3 linked regions of the Oryctolagus cuniculus genome follow. The protein of the gene in region 1 purifies or fractionates together with the protein of each later gene. This does not show direct contact. Links are inferred from orthologs where the notes say so. Each region holds a gene or a part of one and is shown in the gene's direction. Other genes may lie near its edges.

Region 1 (3,232 bases):
TTTCTCTTTCCCATTCTTTTCTCACCTATATTTCGTTATTAGTTCAGTGGCTTGGGACTGCATTTACCTCCTTTGCAGTGGGATGCAGACTTTTCCAAGGGTCTTCTCTGAGGAAATGACTTCAGCTGTCTCTTCGTGAAAGCCATGTCCTTCAGGTTGTTTGGCAGGAGGTAACACTGGTGATAGAAAAGGGAAGAGTTCCTATGATACCTGTACTATGTTATTAAGGAAAGTCCTGGTATCACCTTCCGAGAGCACTAAAATGCACTGGATTCTTCTTGTATATGAATTTTTAGAGGAAGTTCTAAGTATTACTTCTTGCCCTATTTTATTTTTTATTTTGAATATTATTATTATCAGGTTTTGTTTTTGAAATATCTGAGAAGTGGAACGATATTGATCAGCACTCAGCATGTCGTTATCTCTTGGCGTTCAGTGACTGTTCACTGAGTGCCAGCTGCAGTGACAGCAGCCGCTCTCCAAGAAACTTTTGTGTCAGTCACCATGCTAGGCACGTTATTATATCACTCCTTTTAACAATCGTGTGACATAAGTGCTTTTATCCTGATCTTACAGTTGGAGAAACCAATCCTTAAAGAAACAAAGCGAAAGCAGAATCGCACCTGTTTCTTGTTGGCTCCCATGTCTATGGAACGAGCCACAGTTGCCACGTTCCTCCTCTGCTTTGGGCAGAGCTTGCTCATGTTGAAGTTGAAGGCAATCTGTCTGCAGGGACTTTTATTCAGGTGGAAGAGATGGGGAAGTGAAGAGATGCATGGATGCTGTGTGCAAACGCTCTGAGACAGACCTTGCTGGTGCCCCTCCCCCTCACCGTGGGTGCATAGAGAATGGCTAACCCAGCCTTGGGGGAGACAGAATTACTTCGGGAAGGCTTTTCTTGAGAAGGGGTGCTGAGATGAATGGAAATTCCTCAGGAACCTATTGGTCTTCGTACTTCATGTTGGCAGTGTCTGGCTTTGCCTTGTTCTTGGATTTCTGGATTTTATTTGTAGTTTGTTATTGTCTTATCATTCATTCACTAATAACCATGCTGGGCTCATGGATACAAAAATTTTCATAGTTCTTGTAAATCTTACATTCGGGCAGGAAAATAGATATTAAACAGGGCAATTATGAACTAACTTGATAGTATAATAGACTGTGAAGGAAAAGTAGTCAGAGTTGGAAGAGTGAATGACCTGGAACCTTAATTTGAGGTGGGGAACAGGCAGTGGTCAGGCTTCTTTAAGAAAATGTCATTGTTGCAAAGAACTCAAAAACGAGTAGGAAATATGTACACATGAGGAGAGGGGTGGTAATGGGAAAAGGGAGTAAAGAGAATTGCAGGTGAACAGAATTGCACGTTCAAAGTTTCTGAGGCCAGAAGGAAACTGGACGGGTCGATAAACTGAAATAAGGCCAATTGACTGAATTGTATTCAGCTACAAGCTGCATGAATTCAAACAAGACTTACAGAATACCTTTAAATGTTTTAAAAGGTATATCGCTTAACACATCTTAAAACCGTTGTTTTAATTCATATGCTCAACTCTAACTTGTGTATCTGTTTTTCTTTTCTAATCCAAAATAGTTTTTGTTGCTTTTGAAAACAAAATGTTACATATCACAGCTATATCACAAAAAAAGAACTAACTTCATGCCTTGGTTGAATTTGGAATAAAAGTTGATTTAAATATCAGCAAGTCTTGAATAGTGAAGTGTTCTGACAAAAAGTATCATCAGTGCAGTATTGAAATATCCACTTTCGATTGTAAAATAAAGGATTAATATATGCCATAGTTTTCCAGGCCAGCTCCAGACACCTTCTTGTTTTGGAAAAGTGCAGGCAACTGAACTTCACGATCACCATACTTCGAAGCAGGCTTTCAAAGCAAATAGCAAGGGTTTGATGTTGTTTTAGGTTGCTCCTGGTGGTCCTGATCTTTTTAAATAATGGACATTAAGAGGAAGGCTGGGAACGTGTATTACAAGTAGCTTCCTTCAGACTAGCTTACTCAGTATAAATGAAATATTGATGTATTTGAAAATGCCCAAGAGTTCAATAAAGGTTTTAAATAAAGCTACCTAAAAGTTGTGGTTCTTAGGTTAATCATTTATTTATCTAAAGGATGAAGGAAGCTGTCTACTTCTGTGATATGAACTGCAATCAGCTTAAAAATAATTGACAAATTAATCCCTTCACAGCACAGCAATTGTAAAGGTGTTAGTTTTAATTAGGCCTGTCTGATTGCCTTGTCTAATCAAGAATCAAGGTGGTATCTTTGATGGTTAAGGTCTATTGGGGCCATCCCTGACCTGCCAGCCATGTATGTTTTAATTATTGATTCCTCACTTTTCAGCCCTTCCCACAAAGGGACGTGAAGTTTGCAATCCCTTACCATTTACAGGGGAGAAAAAAAAAAATAAACATTTTCCCCAGCACTTCTGTCTGGAATCCCGTGTATCCTTTCCCGATTCTACAGTTTGCATCCAAACAGGCTGTCAGATTGATGACGAAGTCGAATGTGTATTGGGATGCTATTGTTCTGCTGTCTCACCTCCCCAGCGCCAGATTTGCAGTGGACGTTGTTGAGAGCTTGACAAATCACTGTCATTTATGCTTTAGGAAACACATTTGGTTTCTTTATATTGTGGCTTTAAAAAAGACAAAAATCCCCAAGGGCAGATGTAGCACTGGGAAGTCAGAGGTTAGACCAAAGGGGACACAGATCTCGCAGAACATTTCCTCGTGGTGTTTGCGAAGAAGGACCCAGGCGAGAGCTCGTGCGCCATCGGAATTAAGTCCAGCACACACAGGAGCAGGGGCAGCCGCTGGGCCTGGTGGTCCCTGAGTGTGATGTTGGTTCTTCTTTGCTTGCAGGTCAACGAAGTGACGGTGGAGCAGCTGGTGCAGCAGTACCCCCACATCACCTTCAGCACTGTCCTGCAGGACTGCAAGAGAACCCTGGAGAGAGCCTATCAGATGGGCTGGACCCCCAACATGTCGGCCGCCTCCTCCTAGCACCCCTGCCCACCAGGATTAGGTCCACCAGGACCATTCAGCAGGCCAGAGGGGAGTTGTAGTTTTGGGGTGGGAATCTCTTGAATGGTTTTAACTGTCACCTCTCTGCGTGTGTACCAGAGTGTGTATATTTGTGTCTCGTTTGCCTTCTGCACAGCATAAGCCCACATGTTCCTTGTTCCTGAGTGAGCTGGCCTTTTTTTTTTTCTT
Region 2 (3,751 bases), on another chromosome or scaffold:
CCGAGCCCTCTGATTGGTTGCCGGTGATGTAACACCCATGTCAATACTTCCCAGTGAACGCACGTGTTCGACCTTTTATTTAAATTTCCATTTCATCACGGCCGTCAAGACACTCGGGGCGGTGCGTTTTCGGCGAGAGGATGGTTGCCCCCGGGGCCCGAGGCGCTGCCCTGGCATCCAGGGCAGGCGGTGGTCCGCGGCTCGCCACCTCCTCGCCCGAGAGGCGCTCGCCCGCTCCAGTCTTTGTGAGGGGACAAAATAAGTTCACTTCCTCGGGCACCGCCATCCACACACACCCACACCCCCACCCACCGCACCCCACCCCACCCCACCCACCCCCAGCAAATGACAAGGCTGGAGCGCAGCTTCCCACCGCGCACTTATTTCCCAAAGTCCCAGGTGAACTCGTGGCGAGAGGAGGAAAACGCGCGTCCCGGGCGCGGGTAGGTGCCTGTGGGCAGCGGGGAGGCGGCCAGACCCTGACACTCGCCAGCTGTTTGTCCTCCGCGCAGCCCTGGCCCCGGCCGCACACGCCCGCCCCTCCCCGAGACCCCCAGCCGGCCGCCCGGCCTTTTGTCCCCCCGCCCCTCGGCCGACTTCCTTCCCTGCGGCCGCACCCCCGCCCCCAGGCCGGAGGCGCGGCCCGGCCCCTTTCCCGGTCCCCTGGCGCCCCCACCCCACCCCAGCCCAGCCCCAAGCCCAGCCCCCCTCCCCCAGCCCGGCCCCCACCCTTTCCCCCTCCAGCGGTTACTGCTACCCCGGTGCATTGTGGGCGCACGGTCCGTTGTTCATTTGCCATTCGACCTCCGCCAGGGCCTGGTCGGACGGAAGCGCTCCGCCGGCTTTATTGTCGGCTCGTTATGTGGCGGAGCCGGGCAGTTTAACGTGCCTCTCGTCCTCAGCGCGTCGGCAGCCGGCGGCGGCGGCGGCGGCGGGACTCCTCGGCGCGCCGGAGGAAGGATATCTGTTTGGAGGGTCGGTGTGTGCGCGCGGCGTAGAAGAGGGGGCAGCGGAGGGTCTCCCCGCACTCCGCCTCTCAACTTCGAAGGCCCCACGCGCCCCGGCTCGCTCCTCGCCTCTCCGCCGCCCGCCCCCTTCTCCGCGCGGGACGCTGCCCGGAGCGCAGCGGGGCGGGGGTGGAGGACGCGGAGAGCGGCCGGAGGCGGCGGCGGCGGCGGCGGCAGCGGACGCGGACGCGTGCGGCAGCCCCGGGCGCGAGCCGGGCGGGAGGGCGAGGCCGAGCCCCGCGAGACCGGAACGCCGGGGGCGGGGGCGAAGCGGAGGGGGAGCCGCGGGGAGCGCGCGGGACGCGGCCCGAGGCCGGGCGCGAGCCGGGGCACCGGGCGGCGGCGGCGGCGGCGGCGGCGGCGGCTGCGCGCGCCATGTCGTTCAGTGAGATGAACCGCAGGACGCTGGCGTTCCGAGGAGGCGGGTTGGTCACCGCCAGCGGCGGCTCCACGAACAATAACGCTGGCGGGGAGGCCTCGGCTTGGCCTCAGCAGCCGCAGCCAAGACAGCCCCCGCCGCCGGCGCCGCCCGCGCTTCAGCAGCCCAATGGGCGGGGGGCCGACGAGGAAACGGAATTGGAGGGCCTGGAGCCCCAAGACTTGGAGGCCTCCGCTGGGGCGGCCGCTGCTGCGGCTGCCGCGGCCGCCGCCGAGGAAGCTAAGGAGTTGCTGCTCCCCCAAGACGCGGGCGGCCCCACCTCGCTGGGCGGCGGTGGCGCGGGGGGCCCCTTGCTAGCGGAAAGGAACCGTCGGACTCTGGCCTTCCGAGGAGGCGGCGGCGGCGGGGGTCTCGGCAACAATGGCAGTAGCCGCGGCCGGCCCGAGACCTCGGCGTGGCCCCTGAGGCATTTCAATGGACGAGGGCCGGCGGCTGTGGAGCTGGAGCTGGACGCGCTGGAGGGGAAGGAGTTGATGCAGGACGGCGCGTCCCTGAGCGACAGCACCGAGGACGAGGAGGAGGGGGCGAGCCTGGGCGACGGCAGTGGGGCGGAAGGCGGCAGCTGCGGCAGCAGCAGGCGGTCGGGCGGCGATGGCGGGGACGAAGTGGAGGGCAGCGGTGTGGGAGCTGGCGAAGGAGAGACTGTCCAGCACTTGCCGCTCGCGCGGTCCAAGTCCCTAATGCAGAAGCTCCAGTGCTCCTTCCAGACCTCCTGGCTAAAGGATTTTCCCTGGCTGCGGTATTCCAAGGATACTGGCCTTATGTTTTGCGGCTGGTGCCAAAAGACCTCCGAGGATGGGGGCAGCGTGGACCTGCCCCAGGTGGGGCACGATGAGCTTTCTCGAGGGACCCGCAACTACAAGAAAACCCTTCTCCTGAGGCACCACGTCTCTACCGAGCACAAACTCCACGAAGCCAACGCCCAGGTAGGCTAGAGCTCGCGCCTGCCTCTTTTAGGGGGAAGATTCCTTGGCTAAACCACCCATTCCCCTGAGCGAGGGCATCGCTCCCGTTGAGAGGGGTGCGGGGAGCCTTCCGCGTGGGGGTTTGGAAAGCCTGGGAACAAGTTTGCAAAAGTTGTGTATGTGGTGTGGGGGGAGGGGAACGGAATGACAATTTTCTAATCGTACCGCTGACTGTGTTTTTATGTCTTTATGACTGAGATTTCTTTGCTCTTGGGATTGAATCCAGTAGAAGGTTTTGAAAAAGTAGGTTGAAGGTTTTAGTCTAAAAGGATGACTTCGGGTCATGTATTTTATTAGCTGTGATTTTAGCGAAGCCGCCTTATGTTCGTAGAGGTTTAGTGTACTGCTGGAAGTCAGATCTGGCAACTGAAGAGTGGATTAGGCAGAGTTCCCTAAACCTGGCAATACCTCTCCCAAGAAACCGTCTAGCCGAAAGAGTTCTTCCATTAGAGCACGATAATGTGAAGTGTCAGAACTGTATGTAAATGTTGGGGAAGCTATTTGAATAACTCCTTTCTCATGTGAGTAATTTTACTAAACTCGTCTCGGCTGAACTTGTTGAACTTTCTTACCAAGACTTGCTTGTGGTAAACTGTCGTAGCTTTGACCTGTGTACTTCTATCCAGATTTCTGTGCTGAGAGTCTTCTATAGCCTTCTTTTTCAGAAACGTTCTTGTAAATCAGTTTACATTGAGTACTTTAAACTTAGCGTGGGAGATATTTAGTATGCAGTTTTTTTGGATCAAGTAGTTGATTTGAACTGGTAGGGAATTTTTTTTTTTGACCAAATTCTTGAAAACCCCAGTCTTTAGCTACAAATCAAGTAAGCTGTACTTTAGTTCTTAGTCCTCGTTTTAACATTTCTAGTCTAAAGATAGTAGCCTAACCATCAAGCCAAAGATGTTGATCAGCCCGTTTTTTTTTTCTTCTGACTTTTACAAAAAGATCCATGAATGTGGATGGAAATCATTCTTTTGTAGCCAAGTCATTGATTTTAGAAAGTCAATTCTCATATTTGTCCCTTGGTGTGTTGTTTATTGGCGTGATCTTGCGTTCAGCACCCTTGTAAGGGAGTTAGTTAGGCACACCAATAACCACACAGACCCAGTACAGAAGATTCTCAGAAGTTGGGGCTTTCACTGAAAAAGCATAGGGTTATTATTCCTATATACTTCAGATACAGTTTTGGGGTTTTTTTCTTTCCTTGCAGATATTTAGTTGCTTAAACCCTAGGAGGAAGATCATTTAAAGATACAAGCCCCAGAAAGGTTAAGTAAATTGTCCTAAGTCTTAAGAGTTCTGGGTGGCAACTGAGACTAAAGCCTATAAGGAGTGTCGTA
Region 3 (3,751 bases), on another chromosome or scaffold:
AAATATTGGGAGAAATTGCATCAAAGTATTCATTTATTCATAAGCCAAAAGTTAAAATAGTAATTAATGAAAGTTAATAAAGTAAGATAAAAATCAATAGCAGAGAAATACACTGTCGTGACAGTATTTCTGAAATATGGACTTAAATCAATATTCTACCAAACATAACCCAAAACAGGGTGAGTTTCTATTAAGTTGATTTTAGTTTCTATAGGACAAGAGAGGCTAAGAATGTATATATCCAGGTAAAAATAATGGTCAAAGAAACTATGTTATGTAACTAGTGGAAAATTGTGCATTTAAAATGTGAGTGGTAATCAAAAGCTTGAAAAAAAATTATGATGGCATTGCATTGTTAAGCCAGAAATGATGAATATACTAGGTTTTTACTATTCGTATGGTCACATTTTACTAGCGACAAATACTATGTTTCCAACGATAAAAATTTCAAATATGAACCCAAATCATTGAAGTGTCTGTTAAATTATACCGGGTAAAATTTATGAAGTGTTTTATAGAGAAAGATCATTTAAGCATCCTCCCCCTACGGTTACTTTGCCAGGCGGCCTCTCAATTTATACAAAAATCGTTCTTATTTCATTGTTAGAAGCGGCCAGCGAGCCTACACCTTAAAGAAGAATCCAGACTCATCTACACCAAATGCGCGTGTAACTTACGGGTACTCCTTCCGGCCTACCCAGCCTCACGCACACGGAGACTCCCCCGCGCCCCGCTACCACCCACCTGCGACCGCTCGGCTTCTCCAACCCCCGCACGCCCCGCCCATCCCGCTCTTCCTCCCCCTCCCGGACACGTCGGCAAGCCCGCCCACCAATCAGGGCAGACGGCTGCGCAGGCGCAGTAGTTCCCACGGACGCTCCTAGCCCGGGGGATCCTGGGACTAGGCCTTTCCGGAAGGATCGGCTCGGCGTCAGTGGCTAATTCTGTGTTCCCGGCCCAGGCCCAAGGCCAGGCGGTGTTCCAGGCCCTTGCTGCAAAACTGGCCGGTGGCCGCGGCGACGGTCGAGTGACAGCGGAAGGCGCAGGCGGCCGCCCGCGGAGGAGCCCGGTCGCGCCGCAGAGTGAGCGGCGGAGCCTCAGTACGTGGCGGCACCTCCCCCTCGGCTGCGAGCGGAACTGCTGAAGGAGCGGCAGCGCAGGCCAGACGAGGTGAACCGGGTCATTTAACTGCCTTAAGGTGATGAATCGCCAGCCTAATAATTAGATTTGAGGTCCACCGCCGTTTGTGGCCCTGCCGCTGGAGAGTTTCCAGTGGACGACTGACTGGTGTGTCCTGAGGGGCGCCACGGTGACTGCTCGTCCTTGCTAGGGGAAGTGAGCTCTGTGGACATCTCTGTTTCCTGAAAAACATTCGGGTTATAATTGCTTTCTTCGGCATACATCTGTACAAGAGGGAGGCTTTCACATGAAAGTGTCTCTCGGTAACGGCGAAATGGGCGTCTCTGCCCATCTGCAACCTTGCAAGACGGGAACCACACGGTTTTTTACCAGCAATACTCACAGTTCGGTGGTACTGCAAGGCTTTGATCAGCTTAGAATAGAAGGTTTGCTTTGTGATGTGACCCTGGTACCGGGCGATGGAGATGAAATCTTCCCTGTTCACAGAGCGATGATGGCTTCTGCTAGTGATTATTTCAAGGCTATGTTCACAGGTGGAATGAAAGAGCAAGATTTAATGTGCATTAAGCTTCATGGGGTGAACAAGGTTGGTCTGAAGAAAATCATTGATTTTATTTATACTGCAAAACTTTCTCTTAACATGGACAATCTTCAGGACACTCTTGAAGCTGCTAGCTTCTTACAAATCTTACCCGTTTTGGATTTCTGTAAAGTATTTCTTATATCAGGAGTCTCTTTGGATAACTGCGTTGAGGTTGGACGAATTGCTAACACCTACAATCTAATAGAAGTGGATAAATATGTTAATAATTTCATCTTGAAGAACTTCCCTGCTTTACTGAGTACTGGAGAGTTTCTAAAACTCCCTTTTGAACGGCTTGCCTTTGTGCTTTCCAGTAATAGTCTAAAGCACTGTACTGAACTTGAACTATTCAAGGCTGCCTGTCGATGGCTAAGGTTGGAAGATCCTCGGATGGATTATGCTGCAAAATTAATGAAGAATATTCGATTTCCACTGATGACACCACAGGACCTCATCAATTATGTGCAGACCGTGGATTTCATGAGAACAGACAATACCTGTGTGAACTTGCTTTTGGAAGCTAGCAACTACCAAATGATGCCATATATGCAGCCAGTGATGCAGTCTGACAGAACTGCCATTCGGTCTGACTCTACGCACTTGGTTACCTTAGGGGGAGTGTTGAGGCAACAGCTGGTTGTCAGTAAAGAATTAAGGATGTATGATGAAAGAGCACAAGAGTGGAGATCTTTAGCCCCCATGGATGCTCCTCGTTACCAGCATGGCATTGCTGTCATTGGAAACTTCCTTTATGTGGTTGGTGGTCAAAGTAATTATGATACAAAAGGAAAAACTGCTGTCGATACAGTTTTTAGATTTGATCCTCGATATAATAAATGGATGCAAGTTGCATCATTAAATGAAAAGCGCACTTTCTTCCACTTGAGTGCTCTCAAAGGACATTTGTATGCAGTTGGAGGGCGCAGTGCAGCTGGTGAACTGGCCACAGTAGAATGTTACAACCCACGAATGAATGAGTGGAGCTATGTTGCAAAAATGAGTGAACCCCATTATGGCCATGCTGGAACAGTGTATGGAGGCTTAATGTATATTTCAGGAGGAATTACCCATGACACTTTCCAAAATGAGCTCATGTGTTTTGACCCGGATACAGACAAATGGACACAGAAGGCCCCAATGACTACAGTCAGAGGATTGCATTGCATGTGTACAGTTGGAGATAAGCTCTATGTCATCGGTGGCAATCACTTCAGAGGAACAAGTGATTATGATGATGTTCTAAGCTGTGAATACTATTCACCAACGCTTGACCAGTGGACACCAATTGCTGCCATGTTAAGAGGTCAAAGTGATGTTGGAGTTGCTGTCTTTGAAAATAAAATCTACGTTGTTGGTGGATATTCTTGGAATAATCGTTGTATGGTAGAAATTGTCCAGAAATATGATCCAGAAAAAGATGAGTGGCATAAAGTTTTTGACCTTCCAGAGTCACTCGGTGGCATCCGAGCTTGTACCCTCACGGTTTTTCCCCCTGAAGAAAACCCTGGATCACCTTCTAGAGAGTCGCCACTCTCAGCACCTTCAGATCATTCTTAGATCTAAGGTGTTATATCTTGGCAGTTCTTCATGGATGATCTCCTATTTCCCCTTCAGTTGTATCTTCTTCACAATGGTTGGTAGTTGTGAGATAAAAAGGTAACATTATTTGTCTTGTTTGGCTTTGTTTATCAGGTGGCTAACAAATGCATTCTGAAAGTGTATTCAACATAGCTGTTTTAACAAATGAAAGGAGATATGCAGAACAATGTTTAAATTAGATGTCTCTTTGTGGTGTTATTAAGTCAAATTGTAGGTGACTGTAGTAAATGTAATTGTGTGCATTATCCTTCAAAATTTTCATCTTTGAAAAACATCAAGGGGAGGTCTGCTGTAACCTAAAATAATAAATGAAAAGTCACCAATTATTAGCTACCTCCCTCTTTTCAGAGTTTTTCACACATGTCAACTCATTTGGTTTTGTGGTTGCATATGGAGTATGTGAAGTTTCTTAGGTCTTAGGCAGATAGG

The links.
Region 2: the proteins of FBXL17 (region 1) and ZBTB10 purify together in Homo sapiens (affinity purification with western blotting; 3 studies listed by BioGRID and IntAct, with this or other methods). This does not show direct contact. The link is inferred for Oryctolagus cuniculus from reciprocal best matches to the Homo sapiens genes FBXL17 and ZBTB10.
Region 3: the proteins of FBXL17 (region 1) and KLHL9 purify together in Homo sapiens (co-immunoprecipitation; 3 studies listed by BioGRID and IntAct, with this or other methods). This does not show direct contact. The link is inferred for Oryctolagus cuniculus from reciprocal best matches to the Homo sapiens genes FBXL17 and KLHL9.

What each region holds. Positions count from the first base shown.
Region 1 is NC_091445.1:30,474,992-30,478,223, reverse strand, and holds part of FBXL17 (F-box/LRR-repeat protein 17), read left to right. Parts: intron 1-2,881; coding exon 2,882-3,022; 3' UTR 3,023-3,232. UniProt on the Homo sapiens protein: Substrate-recognition component of the SCF(FBXL17) E3 ubiquitin ligase complex, a key component of a quality control pathway required to ensure functional dimerization of BTB domain-containing proteins (dimerization quality control, DQC).
Region 2 is NC_091437.1:106,000,094-106,003,844, forward strand, and holds the start of ZBTB10 (zinc finger and BTB domain-containing protein 10), read left to right. Parts: upstream 1-1,269; 5' UTR 1,270-1,382; coding exon 1,383-2,372; intron 2,373-3,751. UniProt on the Homo sapiens protein: May be involved in transcriptional regulation.
Region 3 is NC_091432.1:184,421,121-184,424,871, forward strand, and holds the start of KLHL9 (kelch-like protein 9), read left to right. Parts: upstream 1-1,426; coding exon 1,427-3,280; 3' UTR 3,281-3,751.